Linked DNA regions of Neodiprion lecontei. The protein of the gene in region 2 interacts with the protein of the main gene of each other region in a pairwise test. Links are inferred from orthologs where the notes say so. Each region holds a gene or a part of one and is shown on either strand. Other genes may lie near its edges.

Region 1 (4,120 bases), about 1.4 Mb from region 2:
TTTTACAAGGGAGTGAATTTCGCTTGCCCTGATTTTGTACGTCTATAAAATATGGGCGCCAGCGTGATATCGAGATTTTAGTTGGTTTTTCGAATTCCAGACCAAGTATACGCTGATTGACTGATCACTCGTCAATACAAAATTATATACCGAGCATAATCGTGGCAACCAGTTACAATTTGCCATCTCACAAGCGAAATATTAACGCCCGATTGCCTATCTGTAGAAGCCGAGTGGCTTGTTTCCACGTTTAGGCCCGGTATACACAAATGTACAAAAATGTACCTGTAAACTCAGATTCCCGTGATTAAGTACGTATATAGTTCGTCTCATCAATTTTTTATGTGCACTTTTCCGGTAAATTTATAGAATTCGATGATAGTTCACGATGACATTCAAAATGTTGAAGTATAAAAGGATGTTGCTGATATGTTAATTCAAATAGAAAATGCAGAGAAAGTGGACAAACCAATTATTTTCCGTAATGAGAATCGTTTTTTATCCAATTTTAAATCATAAATTCAATGAAATAGAAACACGCGTTATAACAGAAAAAGATTGATAGGAAAATTGGTACTACGAATTCAAGAGAATATAAAACAGAATTGAAACATGCCGTGATAACCGATCCGACATTTCAGAATGTATCTTCACTGGCTCTATGAATGTTCGTAAATACTTTTCACATCGTCGGATACGAAAAATTTCAAGAAAATATTTAAAAATATTAACAGCTAGTTGCATTTTCAATTTTTCAACATTATAACACTGCAATACATCACTCTATATTCGGTAGTTTATTGTGACATAAATCGCGCAATATAAGATATAGCATAATAATGAAGGTTATAATTAGAAAAAATATTAGAACGAAAAGAGAGCTCCTATAGTTTCTTACAAAATTATTTTATCTATATATTTTAGTTACATATACAAAATATAGGTGATTTACAACATGATGTTGCACTCGATACGTTATTTACCAGTTACTGAAAAGCTGGCCGTTTCATTTTTTTTTCGACTTCATCTGAACACGACGATTTTTCCCGGGCCTCTGTTTACCGCTCCCAGCACCCTTTCCCTTTTTTGGTTTACCAGGTTTTCTCCACTCCGATACATCCGCAGCACTAGATTTGGAATTCTGTTTACTGCCACGTTTTTTGCCGCCAAAACCATACTTCGAATTCTTCATTTTCAATTTCGCTTGGGCCTTTTTATCCATATGTTGGACTCCAGCTTTTTTATTACTAGGCTTTTTCTTGTCATCCAAGAAATCCAAATCATTTCTTACACCTTTGCGATATTTCTTAACCTCATCAAGCATTTTCTTTTTCTCAGCGTGCTTTTTCAATTTTGCTTCAATTTGCATTTGTTTACCAACCTTTCGCTGTTGCCTTAATTGTCTAACTCTTTCCGATCTTTGTGCTTCTACCTGTTTTTTCATGAGATTTTCCCTAACTTTTTGCATGTGTTGATCAGACTTGGCCATCTCTGCAAAATAGTCATCCGGCCTCTTCGTCACTAGACCAAGCTTTTTTAATTTAGCAATACCCTCCATGACCGCACCCTGAGCTTGTCGGTGAAACATCATCTCTCTTTTGAAATCATTCAAGATCGGATCTTCCGAAGGTGAGAATTGTGGTAGTTTTTTGTTCCCTTGCAGCTGCTTTGCTCGGCGGACTTCTTGCTCTTGCATTTGTAGGGCCAATTCTGGCGCTAAAGGCGCAGGTGCGTTCACTATGTCCAACCTCTCAACCCATGGCAATATTATTTTGAACTCATTCAATTTTCGCTTAATGTCAACCTAAAAATAAAAAATGAAAACTTAAATTAGTCTCGTAGGACCTTCTCAAGTTAAATGGATAATATTGAACATCAATACTGACGGTCTCGTAGTTGTAAAAAATATCAGCAGGAAACTTTTATCCAACAACATAAGTTGACTTTAAATGTTCGAATTCAACGAAATGTGACTTCGATGAAGTGTGAGAATAAACAACCCATCAAGTCATGCGATGGTATATCAAGTTAGGTTAGGTTAGGTTAAGTGAGGTTATATTATGATTATACAGCACGGCAAATTCACCACTATGTTCTAGACACAAAAATGATCGAATATATTCATAAATCGAGCGAGGAATAGGTTGTACAGATGTACACAGTTTATTTAAAATAATATAGCATAGAGTATTTCCGGCTTTGCACCGATACCATGCTTCGTCGGCACGTTGGCACGATTAGTATCTTTCGTACTTCTAGAATTGGAAATACTTACACCACGCCGATTACATGGTGGGAGTCCATCAGAAAGTTGAAAAGTTTTTATACTCACATCAGTCGGCACCCGAACGTTGTTTTCGTCGTCATTACTTTCGCTTGAAGAATCTTCGAAATCGTTGGAATCTTCAATCATTGTTGCACACGCGATTAAATTTTTCGGCGCAAATGTATTTCAGATACGTCATACGAACATAGGTGACAGAACATTTAAGATGATCCACGCTTTCAAGTGTAAAAATCGTAGTTCATATGAACTTCTCTAGAGGGTATCATGCAAGGGAAATTCTTATCGAGTTGCTGTTCCTTAGTCTTCTTTGGATATTAAAAAATATTTCAAGGCAGAGTATTAGTTGGTTAACGACATGCATTTACCGTTGGATACGTCGAAAATTAGTTCCAGAAACATATTTCACGTTGCAGGAAGCAAGTTAATTGGAAACACGTAAAACACGTAAAATGTAGAGCTTGAAGCCTCCTCTCTGCCTAGTGCTGATATTCCTAGTAATTCAACTAGGGATGCGTTCCGAAATATATTTTCAGTACTGCAGATACTGACAACCGTGTTCCGAAATCGTGCGACAGCTTGGGTGCTTTCCATTTACTAACTCAAGTCGACTTGTGTCGCTATTTCTGGTGTATTCCTTTTCCCAGATTGGCCGGTTACACCAGAAATAGTGACACAAGTCGATTTGAGTCATTAAATGGAAAGCACCCCTTACTACCGCCCTCGACCTACCGCCAGTCAGTGACGTCTGACATTCGTGATGATGTGATTGCGACTACCGCGGTGTGGAAGGTTTGGGAACACTGAATAGTTTGGGACGTGAGCACTGATCACGCATAGGTATACCTATACTAACATACCTATTATATCATCAACGGACGTGGGCAGTTGAAAGATGGCCGGGCCTTCGATGGAGGGGGTACTTGAAACTGGAAGAAAAAACAGTACGCGGTTCGCGGTTCCGTCCTCTGGTTTGTAGTTGACTGCGTGACGTCACGTTAGGCAGTCCTGCAAGTATATTTTGGAACGCACCCTAGTACTAGCCACTGAGGGAGAACTATCCAAATGCATAAAAAAAATGTGAACTCAAATGTCGTAAAACGTATTTTGCGCGGTAATATGTGTAATGACTCGAAGACTAGGATCAAAGTTGTCAATAATTGCACACTTATATTAATTTTGCGAAAACATAATCATAATTTTTAGACAAGAACAATGGATTCTGTTGGTTACAAAGTTGGAAGGTTATGTGCAGACCGTGTAATCAAATATTCGTAAATTGTACAATTTTTAACTAGTATACGTTCGTAATCGTAGCATAAGCAAATGAATTACAAGCCTTAGACATGCTCTGTAAGATAGACGACCTACCTGACGAGATCCTCGAATACATATTGAGCTTGATACCCCCCTATAAAAATCTTCAAGAGTGCACTTTGGTTTCTAAACGATGGTATCGCGCTACTCGCAGTACGTTTATAAATTTATATTTCCTAACAATTCATTGGAATCGTGAATTTCATTTCTAATAATTTTTTTAACTCCACGTTAACAACAAGAATTTTTTAGATGTAATAGAACACAGTGAGGCACATTTCCACAAAGCAGTTGGCCTGGGCTCACTTTTTTGGAAAACATGGCCTGAAGCCGAGTGGGTACCGACAATCGGAAAACGTCATTCCCATTCGGCATGTACTTATGAAAATTCTATGTATGTGTTCGGTGGTTGTACAGCTACGTGTACCACTTTCAATGATCTATGGCGATTAGATTTGGACACACGAAAATGGGTTAGGCCTATCACTATGGGTAGCTATCCATCGCCTAAGGCATGCA
Region 2 (8,615 bases):
AGTCATCTCCTTCAGCAGTTCATTACCCATTTGGGCGGGGCTTCTCGTTACAATCACTCCGGCCTGGAAATAATACGATAAATGACCCCTTTGTTTTTCTCTCTACTGTTATCTGGTGTAAAAAAAAAAAGTAAGAAGTGATATCTGCCTCTCAAGGAAATTTTTAGTAAAAGTATTACTGATATGTATTTCTAAGATATGTAATATCAGTGCAGTAAGTTCTGATTCTGAATTTAACCTTTAGACCGCCAGTGATTTTAATGTATATTCAAATAACCCACATTTATATTATTTGACTATAGTTTCGTCAGTATACTGCGGCCTAAGGATTAATTCTGTACTTGGGAATCATGTGTAATGAATAATCTCAGCAAAACCAATTGCAATGAAAATGTACTAAAACAATCTACATTACCTTTTCAAGAGCGTTAATTTTGTCTTGAGCGCCACCTTTACCGCCTGAGATAATGGCACCAGCATGACCCATTCGACGACCAGGAGGAGCCGTCAATCCGGCAATAAAAGATACAACCGGCTTAGCCTTTCCACCCTACAGTGGAACAAATTGAATCTATGAAATTACAAAAATTATTCTCTACATTTAGCTGCGATTAGGGTGTAAGATTCTTTTTTTCCGTTCTAAAAGTGAAAAGTATTGATTGCAAAGTGCAACGTTAGTGAACATTGTTTTGTCTAAAGTCTAATCTTTAATAAATAAATCAATTAAGTATGGAAAGTCAGCATCAACATATCTTAAAACTTTTTGAATTCAGCAAGGTAGGATCGTAACTTATAGAAAAAACCATGCGGGATATATGGGTATCACTTCATGATTAGGTCTGGAATAGGATAAGGATGGATTAGGCATAATGGCGGGTCATGGATACCAATAATTCAGAACAGCAACCGACAGTGTTATGTTCCATGAGGTATTCAGCAGCCAACTCTTCAGCGCTACCCCCGATTTCTCCGATCATCACTATGCCTTCGCATTCTGGATCTTGTAAGAATACTTCTAAACAGTCAATGAAGTCTGTACCATTGAAGGGATCTCCGCCGATACCAACGCACAGAGTTTGCCCTAGCCCAGCCTTAATAATGCGAAGAAAATTGATTCATTAAAACCTGATTTATGGCCAAAGTATCTCAGAATTATTCATGTGTCACCATGTACGTTTTTTCTCAAGCAGAATTACTAAAATACTTTTGATTCATGTGACTCACCAGAGTTGTCTGATTTACAGCTTCGTAAGTCAGAGTCCCGGATCTCGAGACAATACCAATCTTTCCTTTTTGATGGATATGTCCAGGCATGATCCCAATTTTACACTGATATTGGAAAAGAAATAGGTAATTAAGCTCTTTACGGTTTTTACGTATGAAGATACTAGAGCAATACATTTGTCACTGAAGATAATGAAAGAAACATAAAAATTTACCTGTTCTGGAGCAATGATTCCTGGACAGTTGGGTCCTATAAGGCGAGACTTGTTCTGTTCAAGAAGACGCCTCTTCACTTTTACCATATCGTGCTGAGGCACACCTTCAGTGATACAGACAATTAGAGGCATTTCTGCATCCAAGGCTTCCATAACTGCTGCTGCTGCGCCGGGTGGTGGAACATAAATCACCGAAGCCGTTGCGCCTGTAGCTTCTTTGGCCTATAAAATACATAAACTAAATAAATATATAATAACATGCTTCAAGATTAAATGTCAAATTTCAAAGGGAATTTTTTGATTTTCAATCTCACTCTGGGTATGCTAGGATATATAGAATGAGAATATGTTCAAAATTAAGACAGGAACTTTGGTGTTGAAAGGTTTCATTCTTGAGATTGTCGCTTGAGTTTATCCATATTTTTATCGATGTGGGAATAAAAAAAAAAAAAAAAAAATAGAACGAACCTCTTTGACAGTTTTAAATACAGGCTTGCCCAAGTGCTCTGTTCCAGGTTTTTTGGGATTGACACCACCCACAATTTTGGTCCCATAATCAAGTGCTTGTTGACAATGAAATGTTCCTTGTTTGCCTGTAAATCCCTGGCATATGACTTTGGTATTTGAGTTTATTTTCAGGTTTTTCCTCGTGTCCGTGTAGTTGAATCTTACTTGGGCACGGAGCAAGCTGCTTCGACCTCCCACTAAAGCAAAAATCATTCAAAATTAGTTATATTTCTACTATGCAATGCTGTATCAATATTGGACCATTCCTTGAAATATCTAATCCAAATTCTCTGTAACGCTAATAAGCTCTAATTCTAAGAGCCATATGTCACAAATAGCACCGTCAATGCAAACAGAAGATAATGAAATTTACTCAACTACCTTAAAGGTTATGCTTCTCACGATTCAAGTATACTTGTTCCAAAGATTATAGGCCGGAATAGAATAGATAGACATAATAAAGTTTAAAAATAGGTAAAATAAAATGGAAATTTTTTTTTCATGTAGTTTAATTACAATGATTAACACATTCTTAGATGCAATTACAATGGTATCAATAAAATCAATGTCATATAAATACTCATTCCTGGGAATCAGAAATATTTGAATTTGTTATTTCTATGAACAGTATCTTATACCACAAGAATAAATGACTATTGGTTCACTCTATGAAACAACATTACAAATTGTTGCTTAAAATGATGAATTTTTTGCGTTCTACAGAAAATTTATCATTATTTAAGTTGACATGTTAAGCATACAACGGACGCAGTAGGACGAAACAAGTATTAATAGGGTAATTGGATGTCGACCTCTTGAGGGAAGAAATACCGAAAGGATTAATGTATATCATGAAATTATCCACAGTCCGGTCACGAAAGCATGAATCTGACTTATCTGCCAATGGCACTTGACTTATTAATTAGTGATTCGATCTTAGGAGATTGTCAAGCAATTGAAAGGATTATTGAGCAATTTGATAGAAGCAAAAATGTGGGTTAGATTACATAATGTACACGAGACAATTGTCTCTTTTGATTTGAGCCATCTGGGTCAAGAGCGAACAGCATTCGTAGGGTTAAAATAAAACGGGGTCTATGCAGGTGCGACTGCATAACGATATACGGGGCTTAATTTATTCCGGAATACATTTTGCTTGCGGTACGACTTGTGATATTTTCATTGTATCAATGTTTAAATTACCGACCTGTGATTTTTGATAGATTCCTAACAGCCGCAGCCATTTTAATAAATTTGTCGAGAAAAATTAATTTCAGAACGAACTACGGACTTGACACCATGGACGGGGACAGACAGCCTACTCCTTAATATCTACGATTCCTACTACCATGATATATCCTTGGTGAACAAACCGAATGAAGCGACTCAACACACGGTTAAAAGCGTTCAACGCGAAGCAGTGCTGCTTGCTACGATGTAGAGGCGCTGCCTTTATCCGCCAACTATAAGCTATATATAGGTAAATTGGCTAACTATAATACTAGTACGTACTAGTTAGTCGTTTTAACCAACACAATTTTAGCAGTTTTTGGATTTTTAATGGTGAACCACATGCGCGTATCGAATATGAAAATTTTATACTTTCATAGCACGATATGAGCGTACTTTGCTCATATTCACAGAGATACAACCGCAACAGATCTTCTAATCCTACCAGACGTCGATAATTAATATTGAACAATTTTAATGCATACGATAAGACGTTGAATGGTGACGGAAGGATTTAAAGACGGCTTATATCCCTCGGCGCAAATTTTTATGGCTAGCACTTCACGGCTGAGAGTCACAACAAGCCGTGTTAGCGATTCGGTAGCGTCTATCAGTGGGAGCCGTTCACGCAATTCTATAGGCACACAAACCATATGCAAACCCGCAGTCTACCTCCTGGTCGGTCCCCTGACACACGGTGCTAAAAGGGGTTCGCAAAATGTTCCTCGATTCTGCTGTTAATTTCCACCAATAGTGGCGCTAGTAGTTACCTGACGAGCTTGCGCGCGGTCAGCGAGGGCAGCGAGCGTGTCAGAAGTCTACTACTAGCGCCACGTAGAGGAACTAAAAAACGGGGACAAGACGCGTACAATTTTTTTAGTATACGAGCAGTGGTGAGTGTCAGAGGGCTGCTCCTGGTCAATCTCTCTGTAAGCCTATGGGTGATGCACGTTCAGTTACACATGCCTATAATATATTTTGGTGGTGAAGGCTCGCCGCGTGCCGCACGTGTTAACCTCACATTTTGGTAACACGGTTTCCTGAGTGAACTGGTTTCATAGCAAAAATGGTAAAGAAAAGTGTAAAAAGGAAGCGTAAGGAGAGTGAGAAGGCTAAAAATGTTGAAACCGAAGAAGTGGTGAAGTTCCCGCCATCGAAACGATCGTCCGATGAACCTGCGCCGAAAAAGGTTATTTTATATTCTAACCTCGTCAGTTACTGTATTACAGGTGTACAGACAAACTGCAATCACGCAGCTCACATTTCTCTCAAGACAGAAATTCTCCATTCCCAGTCCACCTTATTGCTAATTTACACCTTTTTCACGGAAAGAATAGTCGCCGCGTCTATTCGCACTACAAAGTGAACCTACACAGGACACTCCAAATATGCCAAATGTTCGGATCTCTTGAATTTTTTGGAATGAATTAGAGTGTCCGAACAAGTTTTCAAGCCATACCATTTTTTACGTGAGTATGATTTGTTTAAAAACATTCACTGAGGGTGACAGACACCGACAACATACTTCGCATCTTTCGTGTGTGTGTTTCAGTTTTGGACAGTGCTAGAGTATAATCATTTATTAAAACTCTAGCAACGGTATAACAGAAACTGAACTTAATCTAACCTTTGCCACACAACTTTAGCGTGCCTGAAATAATACTTTGGATATTTCAATTTTTTGCAAAACAATCGGGACAAATAAACATTTGGCTTATGGAATAATTGGAGTGCCTCGTGAAGATTAACTCTAGAGTGAATAGATACTTTGAAGAATATTTATTTTAAATAGTCATTTTTGTTTCGATAGACGAGATGGATAAACAAACAACGGGTGCTAGTATTCGCATCACGGGGAATTAACCACAGAGATCGTCACCTAATGGAAGATATTAAACGACTTATGCCACACCATCGCCCAGAGAGTAAAATGGAGCGATCCAAAAATTTGCAAGTTATTAATGAGATGTGTGAAATGAAAAATTGCAACAAAGCCATGCTTTTCGAGGGCCGAAAAAAAAGAGATCTGTACATGTGGTTGTCTAATGTTCCAACTGGACCATGTGCGAAATTTCTTGTTGAAAATGGTAAGTATTTAACCAATTATGTACAATTAATTTGACGTACATTTTTGATGTTTTTGCTCGAAGTAGCTAATGCTGCCATCTCAATATTTATTATTAAACAGTGGGTTGTTTTTTAAAAAAAGAATTTCCTCAACCTAAAACTTTGAAAGAATAAAAATAATTGCCTGAATAATACATATTTTTGGTTCTAGTTTATACAATGGCAGAGTTGAAAATGACTGGAAATTGTCTCAAAGGGTCAAGACCATTGCTATCTTTTGATGAGAATTTCAATGAGAAACCTCAGTATGGTGTCCTGAAAGAATTATTGACACAAATATTTGGAGTACCAAACCACCATCCAAAAAGTCAACCGTTTTTCGACCATATTTACACATTTAGTGTTTTAGATAATCGAATATGGTTTAGAAATTTCCAAATTTTAACGGAGGATGGAGCACTAGCTGAAATAGGCCCCAGATTTGTTCTTAATCCTGTGAAAATTTTTACCAGCAGTTTTGGTGGTGAAACGCTTTGGAATAATCCGTATTATATTTCTCCAGCTAAGGTATTTTCAGTACTTACAACTCAGGGTTACAGTACGCTTTTGAGACTTATTAATTCAGTGATATTTTAATCTTTTTTTTTCAGTACCGTCAGTCATTGACGAAAAAAGCAGCTGGTAAATACATGAACAGGATAGAACAGAAATTGAATGCAGAATCTAATAAGCCGGCGGAATCTTATGCTTTGAACCCATTAGATGAGATATTCAAAGGGGATCCCCTGGCTGCGGCAGAAAAAATGGAAGAGTTACAAGAGCAAGGAATTGACGAATCTGCCAAAGTTGAAAAGAAAAAATCCCTCAGAGTAAAGTTCGTTAAGAAAAAACCGAAAAAGCATTTAGTGGGTAAGCAGAATAAGAAGAAAAAATCAATAGTTGCCAAAAAAATTAAAAATTGAACGAATTTATTGTACGAACTTCTGACGCACTCTGTTGTAATAAAATACATGCATATAAAATATTATCGTATACAATTACTGTCAATTACGAATGCCAAATCCTTCGTGTGAATGTTAGTAGTTGTTTTATTTAAAATTATGTTCACTTTCAAATGTAAACTTCAGTGTATAATATTGGTTCCTTAATTTAGATTCAGGTATTACATTAAAGTTAGAAGCATCTTCAAACAGCAGTGAGTAAATGCCATAGGATAGCTCACGATGCCTTAAAAAGTATCAAAATCCATTATTTTCTTCATAAAAATCTTATTGAGGATTAGAACGTTATAAAAAACCTATAACAATTTATTAAATATCACACGCAGAAATATATTCATGCCTATATATGTATATATCTCTCCCGACAAAATGTATTATTTCTTCTTATGTACGTTTCTACAACAGCCTGCCAAAATCATTCGAAATAGAAATATTAGTACTATCATATGGTAAGCCAATAACTTTCTTCATAATCAACGCAATCGTATAATTGCTACAAATTTTGTGTGATAAACTTAATAACAGTTCTTGTAAAAAATATTCTATTACCACAAATATATATTTTATGATCATAACAAATCGCGAAAAGCGTGTTTGCTTATACCTACGTATGTATGTACAAAGTAATTCCATTTAATCTAGACAGTAGACAATGTATCTGAATGAAACTGCGAGTAAATGGTTCAGACGTGTGTTGTACAATATTCCTGGACGGTACAAATAGAAAATACAACCTTGTTCATAAAAGTCTTAATCTTCAAAATGTTAACCAACATGAATGATTTTTGCAAATTATTAACATTGGATTATTTGTTACATATTTAGGAACAGAAAAAATTGTGAATTATTTAACAAGAGTTAAGAACCACCGAATAGTTGTCTCTTTAAGGAAATAAATTGAGAGTCATGATATGGAAAAGTCTTTCATTTAATTTTCGTTTGAGAATCATGTAATTTGAGAAGAAAAAAAAATATGTTGAATTTTGTACTTCTATCAATAGACAATATTTTTCTGTAGATGGTATGGTTAACATCTATATCACAATTGTGAAAGTATTGATTGTTTTCTCGAAAGCCTCGATCAGCTATTCGAAATCGTGTCCAGATATTTTGGAATGCATGCGAAATTAGAGGCACTTAAACAGGATAATGTTATATGCAGTTAATTCTATTCACAAATTGTGCACAATGTTTTTGTGTATCACTATATTTTTATTATCACTAATCGGTGTTCGTAATTCTAGTATATGCTGTATTTACGACAATCAATATTTCCTGTTAGCTCTAATATTTTGAACGTTTAAGGTACGTGAAGTAAAACTTGACAAAAATTTTATGTTATTCAAGATAACTGATGTGCATAGCAAATTTGAATATTATTGAGGAAGTATTTATTATTAGAAAGACTTTAACGGATGGAAAAAAACCAGAGTTCAAACTGTCTTAAAGTGAACTGTGCGTGATTGTAAAATTACTAAAAAGATGTGTATATGCTATGATTGCACTGATGATATCGATGATACGTTATTCTCATAATATTTACGTTAGATGTAGTCAGAAAATTTATAATGCTAAGAAGCTCGAAAAAAGTGAGCAAATTTATTTTTTTGCAAGTAACTCACGTTAAAAAAATGCTTAGCCAGAGAATGGCCAGCATTGAATTTCCAAATGTATCTACTGATTCGTATATGTAATATTCATAACTAAACCAGGCTTATGATATCTATAGATAATGTTTCATAAAAAGTATTTAAAAAAAAAACTGTTCCGTAAATTGCGTGAAAAATAGGTAACCAAAGTTTGTTTATGAAATTCGTAAAGAATGATATAAAATTCTCAAAAAACATAAATAAGAATATTGTTTAACTATAGTATATCTCAGCTCGTATTGGGGAAGTAAATACCTACCTTAATAAAACAGTAGAATAGAACAGACGAGAAAAGACTTTTTAATACTTATTGGTTGATTGGAGACAACTCGAGTGACTGTTGACCGTTGGTGCTAGGATTAGCTGATCCTACGTTAGCCAGAGCAGATTGTCGCCATTTACCATTTTCTCCATGTAGATTTTTGTCTTCGCAAATGCACAAAAATAAGGTGTCGATTACAGTCTGAAAAAGAGAGAAGACAACGTGTAAATAGTAAAAAATTATTGTGAAGTATCATCTACCGAAGAAATACGGAATACGTAGTATTGGAACAATGCTTATGTGTAATTCAATTCACCTCATAAAGTGAGATGACACTGTGTGCAATGAAGAACGCAAATACGCAAATGACAAATATTGGTGCTGCATAAAAATGTAACGTTGGATCCTGCCTTAGGAATAACAATCCGACACTTCCAGTAGCTGCAGTTACAAAACATTT

The links.
Region 1: the proteins of ribosome biogenesis protein BRX1 homolog (region 2) and probable rRNA-processing protein EBP2 homolog interact in binary tests that used the Drosophila melanogaster proteins (3 or more experiments, as listed by UniProt). The link is inferred for Neodiprion lecontei from reciprocal best matches to the Drosophila melanogaster genes CG11583 and CG1542.

The regions. Positions count from the first base shown.
Region 1 is NC_060263.1:31,077,531-31,081,650, reverse strand, and holds probable rRNA-processing protein EBP2 homolog, read right to left. Parts: upstream 2,521-4,120; 5' UTR 2,414-2,520; coding exon 2,333-2,413; intron 1,805-2,332; coding exon 1,007-1,804; 3' UTR 886-1,006; downstream 1-885. Other genes in the region: F-box only protein 42, read left to right, coding at 3,631-3,754, 3,854-4,120. UniProt on the Drosophila melanogaster protein: Required for the processing of the 27S pre-rRNA.
Region 2 is NC_060263.1:32,445,654-32,454,268, forward strand, and holds ribosome biogenesis protein BRX1 homolog, read left to right. Parts: upstream 1-4,099; 5' UTR 4,100-4,242; coding exon 4,243-4,365; intron 4,366-4,986; coding exon 4,987-5,263; intron 5,264-5,454; coding exon 5,455-5,810; intron 5,811-5,893; coding exon 5,894-6,205; 3' UTR 6,206-6,267; downstream 6,268-8,615. Other genes in the region: succinate--CoA ligase [ADP/GDP-forming] subunit alpha, mitochondrial, read right to left, coding at 1-63, 416-550, 888-1,091, 1,225-1,329, 1,440-1,661, 1,908-2,143, 3,154-3,190; choline transporter-like 1, read right to left, coding at 8,201-8,356, 8,472-8,615. UniProt on the Drosophila melanogaster protein: Required for biogenesis of the 60S ribosomal subunit.